Linked DNA regions of Tamandua tetradactyla. The protein of the gene in region 1 purifies or fractionates together with the protein of each later gene. This does not show direct contact. Links are inferred from orthologs where the notes say so. Each region holds a gene or a part of one and is shown in the gene's direction. Other genes may lie near its edges.

What was found.
Region 2: the proteins of TGOLN2 (region 1) and GALNT2 purify together in Homo sapiens (affinity purification with mass spectrometry; 3 studies listed by BioGRID and IntAct, counting the BioPlex papers as one, with this or other methods). This does not show direct contact. The link is inferred for Tamandua tetradactyla from reciprocal best matches to the Homo sapiens genes TGOLN2 and GALNT2.

The regions. Positions count from the first base shown.
Region 1 is NC_135343.1:59,576,452-59,584,208, forward strand, and holds the start of TGOLN2 (trans-Golgi network integral membrane protein 2), read left to right. Parts: upstream 1-4,702; 5' UTR 4,703-4,767; coding exon 4,768-4,813; intron 4,814-5,054; coding exon 5,055-6,181; intron 6,182-7,367; coding exon 7,368-7,451; intron 7,452-7,757. UniProt on the Homo sapiens protein: May be involved in regulating membrane traffic to and from trans-Golgi network.
Region 2 is NC_135328.1:154,569,384-154,576,507, forward strand, and holds the start of GALNT2 (polypeptide N-acetylgalactosaminyltransferase 2), read left to right. Parts: upstream 1-4,090; 5' UTR 4,091-4,173; coding exon 4,174-4,302; intron 4,303-7,124. UniProt on the Homo sapiens protein: Catalyzes the initial reaction in O-linked oligosaccharide biosynthesis, the transfer of an N-acetyl-D-galactosamine residue to a serine or threonine residue on the protein receptor.

The DNA.
Region 1 (7,757 bases):
CCAGTTCTGTCTAATGAGCTGTTTAAGAAGTAAAAAAAAAACACAAGTCTTTTTAGAGCTGCTCCCCACCCACCCCCATCACCACTCCTCAGGTTTGTCAATCAAGAGTGTGAGTTGGTACATTGCTCTGGGGATCTCCAAGCTCTCTATGGCCCCTTTTCTTGGGGTCCAGCCCTTTCCCAGTATTTTGTGCTATCCAACTCAAAAAATGTCTAGTTTTTTTTTTTTTGTTTTTGTTTTTTTTTATCAGCCCTTCCCTTCTCTACTTGGCAAAAATTCCTTTTTCCTTTAGTCCTTATTCCAGGTTTATCTGTGTGGGAACCTGTTTTCAGTAGTCAAAATTTTAAAATTATTTCCACAATTGGAGCATGATTGAGCTAAGCCCTTGTTGCTAGTAAAGTCTGTTTCCTTTCCCTTTGGGGAACCAGCCTGCTCTGCCCATGGGGGAGGGATCCCGGCGTCCGCAGCTTAGGGAACTTACAGTTCTGCATGGGCTCTCAGCCACTCCACCTGGTCCAGAATGGTGTATGCTGTGTGTCTGGTCACTGATGTTCCCCCAGCAGTTATTCTGTACCATTCCTGGCTATTTACTATCTGCTCTGGAAGACCAACTAAATTCCACACCTCACTGTGCTGCCATCTTGCCCTGCCCTCCTACCCAATCTAATTACCTGTCCACAGATCTTAAGGTCAACCCCTTGTCCGCTGTTAACCACCCTAGACCTCAGCCCCTCATCTCTGGTGCATTGTTCATCAGTCATCTTATCTCTTCGGTAACCTTGATCACTCTTACAGGAAAGAATGAGTTCTTCCCTTAACTCTTTAAATAACTGCAACCCTCTCCCATATTAGAAACCATGTTTCACATCCAAACTTCCAGCAAAAGTAATTTCCATTCACTGCAACCAGGTTTTGCTTTCATGACTCTATTAAAATTCCTACTTCTAGGTCCTTATCCTATTTCAACCTTTTGCTGTATGTGATACTATTGATTTCACTTTCCTTTTAGAAACATTTTAATGACAACTGGGAACCCCTTGAAGTATATTGAGAAAAGAATCAGTGGAAAACAAGGAGGCGATAGCATCCCAGAAGACAAGTGACACGACTAGTAGCACTAAATGCCACACCACAAAGAGGCCCACAAACTAAGAATTGTACATATGGCTTTGTAACTTGTTTTACTTTCAATTAATCAAACATATGCACATATATGACTAAATAAAAGGAAGAACCATCAAAATATTTTTATAATAGTTATTTCTGGATTACAGGATTATTTTATTTTCTTACTGTGGCTTATCTTTATTAATCTTTATATATTGAATGTATTAATAACTATTATTATCATTTTGGAGCTCTAATCACATGCTAGACACCATGTTATATTCCATGCTTTACATGAATTCTCTCATTCTCAGAATATTTTAATCTCCATCTCATAATAAAGCTGATACTTTCAGCAATTAAGTAAATTGCCCAAAGTCATGGGAATCACTTGTGCAATAAATATTAAAGTACAACAGAAAGGGTTTTTTTTTTCCTATCAAATTGTTAGGTGAAATAATAGAGTGATCTTGAGCAAATTGCTTTATCTTTTCTGTGTCTGTCTCATTTTATAAAGCACCTACTGTATTAAACTTAATAAACAGTAGTTACAGTAGAAAATTAAGAATAATCCAGATGTTTAATAATAAGGGAATTGTCACAACAATTATGATTAACTCATAAATGATTCTTTGTGAAACCATTAGCAAATCGTGTTTTTGAGCAATGTTTAACTTGCTTAGGAAATGGCTCCTACATTTCCCTTTGAACTCCATGCCCAGATTTCCAACTCCCTAACCTCCATTGGATTGCCTCAGAGGCATAAGACACAGAGTCCAAAGCAAATTTATTTCTTGTGCCCCATCTCCAGCAATCCTGATCATCTTACCGTCATCCCCCCATGTCCAATCTTTGTGGTGTCTCCTCCCAGATTAATCTTGAATGGGACCCCTTCTCTCCATCCCCAAGCTAGTCCTACTTGGACTAGTACAGGAGTTCCCTAACTGGTTAACTCCTAAATTAACTCTTTCCTTCCCTCAAAAGGTTTGTCATGTTGCAAACAGAGAATTTTTCAAAAATCCCCAGCTTTGATGATCTTTTTCCTCTGCTTAAACCTCTTCAATCCTTTTCATTGCTGTTAAGACAAAACACAAAACCCTGAGGATGGCCAACAAGTTCTGCAGGATCCGGATTTCTCTTTCCTCCCTTGCCAAGTACTTCTAAACCCCATTTCAAACTTAATAATTTGCTTCCCTACCAAATCAGTATCCTTTAACATTAATCCAATGTTTGTTTAGGGAAGGTAGGGAGAATTTCCTTTTATTAGTTAAAATTATATAAAGAGACATGCAATTTTGTGCATGTAACTTACACCACCAAATTGTATATTCAAAAAGGTTAAAAAAAAAAAGGGAGAAATATTAGGTTTTGTATGTCACCACACACATGCAAGCACACAAACCCTTGTGTCATGGTCAGGTTCATGTGTCAACTTGACTAAGTGGTGGTACCTGTTTGTCTGGCTGGGCAAGTGCTGGCCTGTCTGTTGCAATGAGGACATTTCATAGAATTAAATCATGATCACGTCAGCTGCAGCCACAGCTGATTCCATTTGTAATCAGCTGAGGGGAGTGTCTTCCACAATGAGTGAGGCTTAATCTAATCACTGGAGGTCTTTTAAGGAGGGTTCAGAAGAGACAGACTCTCTTCCTGCTTCAGCTGGTGAGCCTCTCCTGTAGAGTTCGTCCAGACCCTCCATCGGAATTGTTGGCTTCACAACCTGCCCTGCGGATTTTGGACTTTACGTTCCCACGGTCACATGAGACTCTTTTGTAAATTTTATATTTGCGAGTGTTCGTATCGATTCTGTTTCTCTAGAGAATCCTAACTAATACACCATGGAACTGTACAACACAATGTAAACAGTGTGCTAAAGTTAACAGCATAATTATAATAATATTGTTTCATGAATTGTAACAAATTTACCACACTGATGCAAAATGTTAATAAGGAAAACTGGGTGTGTGAGAGATGGAGTATACAGGAACTTGGTACTTCCTGCATGATATTTCTGTAAACCTACAATTGTTCTTATATATATATATATATATATATATATATATATATATATAAATTAAGTATATACAGAAACAAATTCAGCTACCAATTCACTTTCTTTAGCCAAAGCAGTACAGTCCTTGTTCCTTAAAATTAGATTTATGCCACGTATTATTCCTTGAAATTATAAAGAATTTGGACTAGAAACTGCATGTCAACAAACTAAATATTGTACTTCACAGATTCCAGGGGAATATTACTTCCCCTGGCAGCTGCAGTCCTTTTGGCAGGAGTGGGGCTTGGTCACATTTCAGCCCCTTAGCTAGCATGACATTTTCTGTTAATCCAGCCTTACTTTTTGTGCCCCCTAGAGATTTTTGTTCAGGACAACTCCCAGTTCATTGACTCCCAGCCTCTTTCTCAGGCTGGATTAACCTTTAGATTTAGGCAAAATGCCAGGTCCCACCTGCTTCAGGCTTTCCCACTTACTGACAGCCAGGGAAGCTCCTCCTCCCTTCTTTTTCCCCAAGGAAAGCCTACATTCTTTGGCGCTCAGCACCAAGGAGCCGTTCTCAACAGGTCTCATGGGCTTCTGTACCTTTCTTCCTTGACATCTATTGGGGTGCACACACATTTGTACAGATACGCCTTGATTAATATTTCTATGTTACACTAGATTCGTGCAGTTAGGCCCTGTCACTGTTTTAATAGCCACAGTCTACCAAGGGCCCAGCTTGGCAACTGTTCATAAAAGATTTTTAGTCAATGTTTAATGAATAAACATAACACTAACTGTAAATAGTGGAAACAAAAGTATTTACCCAATGTTCTCAATTTAGGAAGATAATGAATATGCATAAGAAAGATATAAAGAAAATATGCAAATTAAGGAAGGGAAAATAAGTACATTTGTATTTAATTAAACAAAACAAAACACTAGATGGAAACACACTAAATTGATAAAAGCCCCTGGCAGGGATTTTTTTAAATCCCGTTTTGATTTTTGGACCATCAAAAGTATTATCTAATAGAAAACACTAAATTTTTGCCAAACAAAATAATACTCAACAGCGATTATCGCCAAGGTTGGGACTAAGGTTTTACTTCTTACTTCTATACTTTCACTAAACTTTCGACCTTGAACATGAATAACTTTTTTTTCCTTTTCTTTTTGGTGCATGGTCTCCCGCACGGAGGGCGAGCATTCTACCACGGAACCACCCGTGCACCCGAACACGAATAACTTTTACGATTTGAAAAAAGATGTTTTTTTTAGAGAAGGGCTTGGGCAACCTGGGAGGAAATTGTTTCGGCGAGGTGGGAGAGTGGCGGGGCAAGGAGGACCCGGGGCGGAGGAATGGGAGAGTAGGATCCGGGGCCCCGAAGGGCAGGGCGGGAACAAGGGTGCTGTAAGGGAGGATGTTAACAAGGTTCGGAGCGCGGGAGGGGAAGGCGGGGCCGACGTGGAAAAGGCGATAGGGTCCTCCGCAGGGGCCGCGCAGCGCCGCCGCCGGGCAGCCCCGCCCCCATACCAGAGAGCCAATGGATGGGCTCCAGGAGGTAGGACGGACGGGGAGGTGGTGGGACCACGGGCCCGCGCACGAGAATCCCGCACGCGCATCTCGCGAGAGTGGTTGAGGGCGGAAGCACGGCTCATGCAGGATGCGGTTCCTGGTTGCATTGGTTCTGCTGAGCGTCGCGGCCGGGGGTAAGACCCCCGCTTCTCAGATGTCACTCTCGCCCTCAGACCCACCGTACTTACCTCGGCCCCTCACCTTCTGGGCTCTCTTCTTCCCTTCCCGACCCACCCCTGCACGCGCCATCGTCCTACTCCTCCCCACCCCCACCCCGGTCCTACCGTTGTTTCCCCCGCCCCGGTCTCTTCCAGCCCTAAAGGGCTTCTTCTCCCGGCGTGACTCGCCAGGACCAACAAACGCCTTGTATTTCAGGAGCTGAACGGAACTCGTCCAGCTCAACGACAGTTGCCGATAATCTCGACCACCGTCCTGAAGAACCAAAGGCTGAGAGTCAGTCTTCTGGAGGAAGAAACCCAAGCGAGAACACCGTGAGCCAGCCGAACTCCAGTGGAGGCAGTTCGTACTCCGTAAATGCGTCCTGCGTAGAAGGCTCTAACAATACGGACCTTAGAAAACCGTCCCTCAGAGTAGACTCCAGCAGTTCGAACCCGGAAAAAACGTCCTCCAAAAAAGGTTCTAGCAATCCGGGCCTGAGAAAGCTGTCCCCCGAAGAAGGCTCCAGCAGTTCGAACCCGGAAAAAACGTCCTCCAAAAAAGGTTCTAGCAATCCGGACCTGAGAAAGCTGTCCCCCGAAGAAGGCTCCAGCAGTTCGAACCCGGAAAAAACGTCCTCCAAAAAAGGTTCTAGCAATCCGGACCCGAGAAAGCCGTCCCCCGAAGGAGGCTCCAGCAGTTCGAACCTGGGAGAACAGTCCCCGAAACAAGGCTCCAACAGTTCGGACGTGGGAAAACAGTCCCCTAATAAAGGCTCTGGCAGTTCGGACCCGGAAACACAGTCCCCCAGTGAAGGCTCCAGCAGTTCGAACCCTGGAAAAGAGTCCCCCCCAAAAGGCTCTAACAGTCCGGACCTAGGACAACAGCTGTCCACGAACGAAAGCTCTAGCAAGCTCGGGTCCAAAGGATTATCTAATGGCGAGGATGCTGACTTGGAGAGGAAAGCTGACAATAGAGAGCTTGTCATACCTGTTTCTAAGACAGAATCTGGGGAGAAAGTATCAACAGACAGTGACCGCACTTCTCCCCGGCAGGAGGGAGAAGATAAGTCTTTAGCTCCTACTGAAGATCTCCAGCCCAAGGAGCCTGAAGAAGGCAATACAGAGCCTGAAGAGGATTTACCACCCAAAGAGATGTCAGGCCCTGCCCCCAGTGAGAACCAAGAAGGTCCGCTTTTGAATTCCGTGAATAGCAGGGAATCCAGTGTCCTTTATAAGGGCAGTCCTGGAAGTGCTAGTGCAGAGAGCAGCCACTTTTTTGCGTATCTGGTGACCGCAGCCGTTCTTGTTGCTGTCCTCTATATTGCTTATCACAACAAGCGAAAGGTAAGTCAAGAGTTGCCTTAGAGAGGGGAGATCTTGGTGTATGGGTCAGCAGCCCCTCCTTAGCCCAGAAGCACTGGAGATTTTAAGACAAACCATTTTTTTCTTCAAACCCTGCTAGGGTCCTTGACGCCTGTTTTATAAATCATTTGTTGCCTATATCATCTATTACCGATTTCCTCTGAGTGGCCTCTGCTGCTGCATTAGGTGCCAAATTGGGATGTTAAGATCTGACCTGAAGTGAGTCCCCCCGCCCATAATCTTGAACTAAGACCCATGACTAGGTTCAGAGGAGCTGAGTACCTGCCGGTTTATAAGTACTTAGAGCATCTGTCTCCCCTTGCTTCTGCTTTTGAGATGTGTGCGTCACGTCTGGCTTCCTTTCTCAAGCTTCTGTCTTCCTTGCACAGTGGCAAAAAGAATGTCTGTAGTGGCAGATAGTCTTACATGTCAACAGCAAGGAGCCCAGGGACTACAGTCAGTGGGGTTTTTGATCTTTAAACAGAAGCCCAGAAATTGCACTTCTTTTGCAGGGTTTGGTGTGAAGTGATATTAGTATCCCTCTGCAAACACTTCAGTGACTAAAGAATCACATTTCCTGTTGAGCCCCAGGAATTTAGAAGACCATCAGACCATGGTTGTAAGGGATGAAAGAAGGCTTTTAGTAAAATTGTGCATCCCTTACTCTACAGCCAAGATTCCTTTGAGGGAAATAGCCTTTGGAGTGGAAAGAGGGAGGGAAAGTTACAGAGTGCAATTGAAGAAGCAAAATGTGGGGTGAAAGTATGTTTGCAGTTGTGAAATAATAATTATTATGATTAAAAAGTAAAAAGGGAGTGCCCTAGCCTGGAAAATTCAGCCTCTGGATCTCTTTGGGGAGGGATTGGCAGACCTGTCAGCTCACTAGTAATATTTGATCAAGTGCTGGTGAGTCAACTCCCACAAGCTAGAGCCCAGAGGAGCTTTCCCGCAATTGTTTTCTGTTGAGGAGTATAAAGGATTCTGATGTAACTGGGTCCTGTCCTACTAAAATCATTAGGATTTAATTAGGATTCTTTGTGGGTATAATGTTCTTTCTACAGTCACGGTCATTAAAAATGTAGTACCAGGATAACTGCCTCTGATTTCAGACCCTGGAACATATCATTACAGAGCCCCCTGCTAATCCTTTCCTTTTTCCTTTCCCCAGATTATTGCTTTTGTCCTGGAAGGAAAAAGATCCAAAGTCGCACGGCGGCCAAAGGCCAGTGACTACCAGCGTTTGGACCAGAAGGTAAGGAAGGAAGAGCCACGTTCACAGAAGTGATTAGCAACCTCAGGTGGGCCCAGAAGCAGGCTTGCACTTAAAAATAGGAGGAATTGGATCTCTGGAGCTGCTGGACAGTGGAGGCATTGAGGTATATGTACCAACCAGGTAGCAGCTAGAAGAGACCTTCAGGTATACCACTTCACTTCCCTCCCTTGACAGATGAGGAAACTGAGGCCCAGCAACATTTTTTTTTCCTCAGTTCCCAGTACAAGTTAGTGGCAAAATGAGGATGTGATAGCAACTCTCTAGATTCCTAAATCCTGTGCGTTT
Region 2 (7,124 bases), on another chromosome or scaffold:
TAAAATACAGTCCTTATTCTATATCATTAATGGTGTTTCTACTTCTCTGACCAAATCCTAAGGAGCACAACTGATATATCTTCATTGGGAGATGAGGCTTTTAGCTATAAATTGTTATTCTTTGTCTCCTTTATTAGTGCTCTTTGGTCTTTTCTATTTGGTCTGATATCAGGAGCACAACTCCTGTTCTTTTAAAATCCAGTTTTCCTTTATGAGCCAATTTGAAAATATCTTCTTTTAATAGGCAAACTAAGCCCATTTGTAAATTGATAGAACTGATATGGTTTGGTCTCAACTCTACCACATTGTTTTCTATTATAATTACCACATGTATTACGCCATATTTATAATAGTTCTTTCTCGATTTAGTGTGTATTTTTTTCTTCTACTATTTTTTTAGCATTTTGGAATATTTATGTTTTTAGTGATTACATTTTTATTTATATTTTTTATAGTGCCTTTAATTCTGTTATTTTTTTTTCTTTCTTTCTTAACCTTTTAATATCTGGTCTACCAGTGTTATGAGGTCCCTCTTGACTCCCATCTATTGCCTATATAATGGTAATGACCTTATACTATTTTCCCTTTTTCTCCTTCTTTTCCTTCAATTTAATTGCATATATTCTACTTTGTCAGAAAGTATGATGTGTGCATACTATTCTTCTACCAATTAAGTATATTAAATGTTCTCCATCAGTCCTTTGGCTGTTTTCCTCAGTTATCTCTTGGCTGGAGGAAACTCATTCTCTAAGATGCCTCAAGAGAGGACTGCTCATTCTTTCAATTTTTGCGTTGAGTTCACTATAGCCTCTTACTAAGAGCAGACTTGTTTAATATAGAAAGCTTGGTTGGTAGTTTCTTTCCTTGAGTTTCTCATAAATGCTGCTCTACCGTTACCTTGCTTTGCATGCTGTTCTTAAGAAGTCTGATGTCAGCCTAAATTTTTATGCTTGTAAGTAATTTGGCCTTTTTGTTTTTAAAATCGAATCGTTTTAAGATATGTTTTGGAAAGGATTTATTCCAGGTCATTTTTCTGAGGTACACGGAAGATACTTTTGATATGTAGATTTAAATATTCTCTTATTTCTGGATTATTTCCTGGGATTATAGTTTTAGCATTAGTTCTGTTCCATTTAGCTTGCTGTTGCTTCTTTAGAAACTCCAGTTATATGTATTTTGGTCCTTCTCTCCTGGCTTGCACTTCAACCACTCCTCTCTGAACCTTTTATTTTCAATTTAATTGTTTTCTTGCCATTCTCTGAAGTCTTTATATATATATATATATATATATTCATATATTTATTTATATATATATACATATAAATCTGTATGCTGTATGGCAGGGGTCACATTTCATTATTTTTCCATGTGAGTATCTCCTTATTGCAGCACCATTTGTTGAGTATTTGTTTGTTTGTTTGGGAAATGCATGGGCTGGTAATTGAACCCAGCTTCCTGCATGGCAGGCAAGAATTCTACCACTGAACCACCCTTGTACCCCATTTTTCCTCTACATATTTTCATTTATTCTCCCTTGGGCTCTGTAGTGGCTTGAGGCTGTATGTACCCCAGAAAAACATGTTCTTAAATCTAATCCATTTCTGTGAGTGTGAACCCAGTATAAGTAGGACCTTTTGATGAAACTACTTTAACTAAAGTGTGTGTGGCCCAGCCCAATCAGGATGGGTCTTAATTCTATTCCTAGAGTCCTTTATAAACAGAATGAATTCAGAGATAGAGAATGCCACAGGAATTAAGAGGCTGGACAATGACAGAAGCTGGAAGAGCAGGTAAAGATCAGGAGACACTGCCATGTGACAGAGGAGACCAAGAATTGCCAGGACCCAGCCCCAGAACACCAATCTATGGGAAGAAAGCATTGCCTTAATGACATCTTGATTTGGACTTTTTCCCAGCCTCAGACAGGGAATGAATAAATGTCCATTGTTTAACCCGAATAATTTCATGGAATTTGCTTGAACAGCCCAGGAAACTAAAACAGGCACCTTGTAATTATTCTTTGTTTTTGTGGTAGTTTTGTTTTTATTTTCAATTTCTTTTCTGAATTTGATCAACTCTTGTTGTATTTCTTCCTAATTTTAGAGCAGTTTATTCTTAGTTTTTGAATTCTGGATTCTAGCTATACATATGTATATGAATTTATATTTGTGTATATATGTATGTATGTGATCTGTATAATCTTCAAAACTTCATGATACTTTGTTCAGTTTGATATGTGGTGTCATAATTTACTTCTGCTAAATGTTTTTTTTGGGGGGGAGGGGGTGGTGGAATACAGGGGGACTTTTCATTAGTGAACGTGTTATGATCCACAGCAGAAATGTTGTGATTAATTTTCTGTTTTCTTTTTGCAATAACTTTCTATGCAGTTGACTAGATTTTTTTTTCTATTACAAGGCTTTTGGAGGCAGGGTACCTAGTTTTAAGAGTGTCTTCTATCTGTATAGTAAAAAGAAGTATTTGATAGATGATGGGTAATTAGGGGAGGGATTGGCTGTCTTCTCTTTTATTTTGGCAAGCTCTTGAATTTTCCCTTCTTACTTCCTTCTTTCCCTTCATTGCCAGGCCTCCAAAGGATATTGCCCTCTCCATTCATCTGATTTTTTTTTCTCAGAAGCAAGACTTCTTCAAGGATGCCACCTCCTGTCCCATTCTCTTTCAAATCGCTTCCCTTGAACAATCAAGCACTGGACCTGTGTTCAGTGTTTAGCTCTTGGTCTTGGAGTTTGTCTTTACAGGTTTGCTTCAAGCTTATCTAAGTCCTTGGCAACAGTGGAGAGAGCTCTGTTGGAATTTGGTGTCTTTTATTTTCTTCTACTTAAGAAGTAATTTGAAGTTCAGTTCATGGCGTTTTCTTTCCCACTAAGGCTAAGGCTTTCTGTTTGTTTTGTTGAGGATGTGGGTAGAGATTAAGATTCAGGCAGCTGCCATTATCTCTAGACGGAAGCTCCTGAAATCACTTTTAAAATATCAAGTGCTCAGTAACATCTATTTCCTTCTTAGGAACACTGGAAACTTTGCATTTTACAAGGGCATTTTCAAGGTTAAATACATTCTGGCCAAGACATATAAGCGTCTTCAAGATACTTAGCGAGCCCTTTTTTCTCCCCCCTCTCCCTCAATACAGCAGCGACTGAGAAAAAAAGACTATATAATCCTGCTCTGTTCATTCTCCGAAAAACACTCACTTGAAAATCACCTTCTCACAATTTCCATCTCAAAGCCCCCACCTCTGCCCCCAAATAAATAAACAAAATGAACACCTGGTGATCACGGTATGTTTTGCTGAAACATAAGTAAGGAAACTGGCAGCGAGCAACAGAAAAGTCGGGTGCTGGAGGCGAGGAATTACACTAAAAGTCTCAGGACCTTTGGGCATTAAGAGAAAGCGTTTTAAGGGTCTGAGGCGGCCCAAAAGACCGAGGACTTGAAAAGGTGGTATTCTGGGAAGGGAAGCACCTAGGTTACCAGCACCACAAGGAACGTATGTGAAGGTCCCTGGGTACGTGTGGGCGCGAATGTGCGCCCATGTGCGCGCGCTCCTCCTCGGTCCCGGGGCAGCCACCTGTCACTCACGAAGTGGGGGGTGGGGGCAATCCCGCTGTGTGGAGGACGTAGGGGTGGAGGCAGGCGGCTGGGACGGCGCGGAGGAGGAGCGGGCGGGCCGGGGGGAGGGGGGGGGGCGGAGCGGCGCGGGGAAGCGCGGAGGCCCTCCCGGCGGAGTCCCGGCGTGCTGGAGCCATGGAGACGCGGCTAATCCCCTCCTCCCGGCCCGGCGCCCCAGCCCCCACTGCCGCCGCCGATTGGTCGCCCTTTGCTCCCTGACCCGTCTCGCCGCCTCCGAGGCCGGCTGCTTCCTGCCTAGGCAGCCGCTCGGCCGCCACCGGCCCGGGGCGGGGGAAGGGGGCGGAGCTCTCGGCCCAGCCGCCGCGGGGAGAGCCGGGCAGCCGTCTCTGCGCGCCCGGCCGCTGTAGGCAGCCCGCGCCGCCGCGGCCGGGGGAGGAGTCGCCGCCGCCCCCGCCCTGGCCCCTTCCCCCTTCCTCCGCCCCTCCTTTCCCCCATCCCCGGCCCGCCGCTCCCTTCCCGGCGGCCGGCGGGAGGCAGCACTCGCGAGCAGCCGGCGGCCGAGCGCCGGGTGGCGGAGTGGGGAGAATGCGGCGGCGATCGCGGATGCTGCTGTGCTTCGCCTTCCTCTGGGTGCTGGGCATTGCCTACTACATGTACTCGGGGGGCGGCTCCGCGCTGGCCGGAGGTGCAGGCGGCGGCGGCGGCGGCAAGAAGGTGAGTGCCGGTCCCGTCCCAGTCCAGCGGCCCCGGCCCGCACCGCGTTCGCTGGGCCCCTCCCTCTCCGAGAGCCCCTCCGCGGGGGGTCTCGGGCGCGTCGACTCTGGGCGGGGGCTCTCTCGGTCCCCTTTTCCGGACGTTCTCCCCTCGGCCGCCCCGCCTCCTACTCCCCGCCGAGTCCCTGGGTCGCGGCTGACATGCTCTCTCCTCGGCTGCCAGTCCTCTCCGAGGTGCTCGCGGGGGCATCTAGGGGATGTGTGCCCCGCTGTCCCCTTCACTCCTCTCCCCGGAAGAAAGTAACGAAACCCCAGACCTCCGCTGGGGACCGCGCCTCGCACTGGCCACGGATTTAAAAGCAGAGTTTTCCCCAGGGTCCGGAGCGCACACGGGCCCCTCTGCGGCAAGGCGGGGACTCCCGGGGAGGGGGTGACAGGGCGCAGCGCCACCGCCAAGGGCTTTGGGTTGGCAGGTTTCTTTCTTGCGCCCCCCCCCCCCCCGCATCCCACTCCTCCCGCATTGTTTCCCTTCCTCTCTCGGCTCCACAATTTAAGTTGCTGGGGCCCCATCCCATTCGGTGGGAAGTTTAGGAGGTGGGGGTGTTGGGAAACACAAAGAGGAGGAGAGGAAGGGAGAGGCAGTTGCTTTTCCAACGTGTCATGTAGATCTGGAGAGAGGAGTCCAAGTTTCTTTTCAACCCATTGAGACAAGCAGTGACACCTTCCCACCATCCTTCCCCTTTATTCCCCCTGTTCTCGCCGGGAAGAATGATCTAGGTTTCTGCCCCTTTCTCTGTCCTTTTCTTCTCTGGGGAGCAGTCCAGCTCCATGCCAAATAAAACGGACACCCCCGGCCTGTTGTGAGCAGAGGTCCACAGCGCCTCTGTCCCCGGAGCGAGGCCTGTCATGGTGATTTCCCCCTCGGAGCCAGGGACTCCTTTCACGTCTCCGTGTTACACGCTGCTTAGCTTGGTTGTCCCGGCTGCATCCCGCCGCTGGCCGAACGTTTGTCCTCGTGCACCTGGGTTTCCTAGTTCCACTTTCTCTCGTTCCTCTCGTTTTCTCTGTGTGTGTTTAATAAAAGCTTCGAGGGCCAAGTGATCAGGCTGCCGGAACCGTGTAACTCTCGCTGTCCTTAGAATCGCCGGGAGCACTCGGTCCCGCGTCTCTAAACAGTTCCAGGGACCGGGTGTTTGGGAAGAAATTGAACACTGTAGTGAAGCCGGGATCTACGCCTGTTGAGGGAAGGAGGTGTGTCAGGCTCTGGACTTGTGTACATTTCGTTGGTGGTGTTTGTTGTTTTTTAATGGCTAATCGGCTTTGAAAGCAGTGTTATCTTTTCCAGAATCCTGTAACCCACATTACTCTGACGTTCAGGGTTACAGCAAACCCAGGAAACTCTGAGTTAAAGGATGTGGTTCCATTTGAATTGCGGGTTAGCGTGGAACAAGAAAATAGTATCCTGAAACAAGCCAAAGGGGACCAATTGTAGATTAACAGATTTTAGCTCTGAAGTCAGACCTCTAAATGATAACACCGAAGTTCGGTAGCTTCAGAGGTCCTTCTCTGCCTTCCCTGCCTTCCTCCTTCCCTCCTTCCTTTCCAGCTCTGTGTATTAGATAGGTTGTAGAGTTCTTATTTCGTTCATAGGTTTGCTTTATCTAGAGCGGCAGAAGCGAAAACAGCCTTTCCATGTGCCTCATTAGCTTAGCTTGCATCTGAGCTGACATTGTACTATTAGCCCTATTTTTTCTTCCTTTCTTTTTTTAATGCAGGGTAGCCGTGTATATTTACATGAAGTCACCGTTTATTCTTCAGTCAAATGGTAAGAGCAGTGCAGTCACTGGAGGCACTGCAGCCCTCAAAAAAACTATGGTCACGTTTAAAATGGCATTGCTATAAAAAACTTTCCTTCCTAGTAAACTGTGCGTTGGCAGGTTGGAATAGCCTGGTGTGCTGGTGAGAGACCCTGCAAGGCCTTCTGTCTTAACATGTGAAAGAAAATCAAAGAAATAAACCAGCCTTGGTATTTCTCTTTCCTTGCTTTGCCACTTTCATTGGAAACAGCAACATGTGTCATCAGCATGGGAGAGGCTGGTTTCTCTGGGGCCTTGCTGGAAGGTTTCCTGCTGGTGGGTAGTTTTTGGGGGGTCTTCTATGTTGACCTCAGAAGTGTGATCTTTAGTTGAAATATAAACCCATGAACTCCTTGTGGTCTGGTGGCAATAGGAACGTATAGAGACTATGTGGGAAAAGGTGTGTGGGGGTGGGTGGGGGGTAATGAACAATTAGACATGGATTGGTGATTTGGGAATCTATTCTTTCGGTCAACGAACCATAAAATTTAATCCTGACTCTTAGAATGGTTTAGTGATTTGTCGGTTGGGGAAGAGATGTGTAAATGCAATAGCTTTTGAAATTGCCATGGAAGGCTCATTAACTTAGTGTGGTGGGACCTGACCTAAAGGAGTAGAAGCCCTCGGACTGTTTCTGGAGGAAGTGAATAGAAGCCTGCTGTTGTGAATTTCTTAATCTAGTAGGAAAACTGTATAGCCTTCCTCCTGAATTGTTTCTGTGGATTTAGGCACTAGAAAATCTCTCCAAATTTAGCTCATCCTCATGAGTGTCATGATTAAAGGAAATAGGTGCTTTGTTTAGCTTGTAAAGTATGGGCATAAAAAAAGGTAATGTGGAATGCATGTAAAGGCAGGATTTAAATAGTAGCCCTAGTTTCTAGATATAAGTGGACTTGTATTTCTTCACTCGTTGCATACTTTATGAGTCAGGGCTCCAATTCCATTTTAGTAAATTTTTCTGCATCCC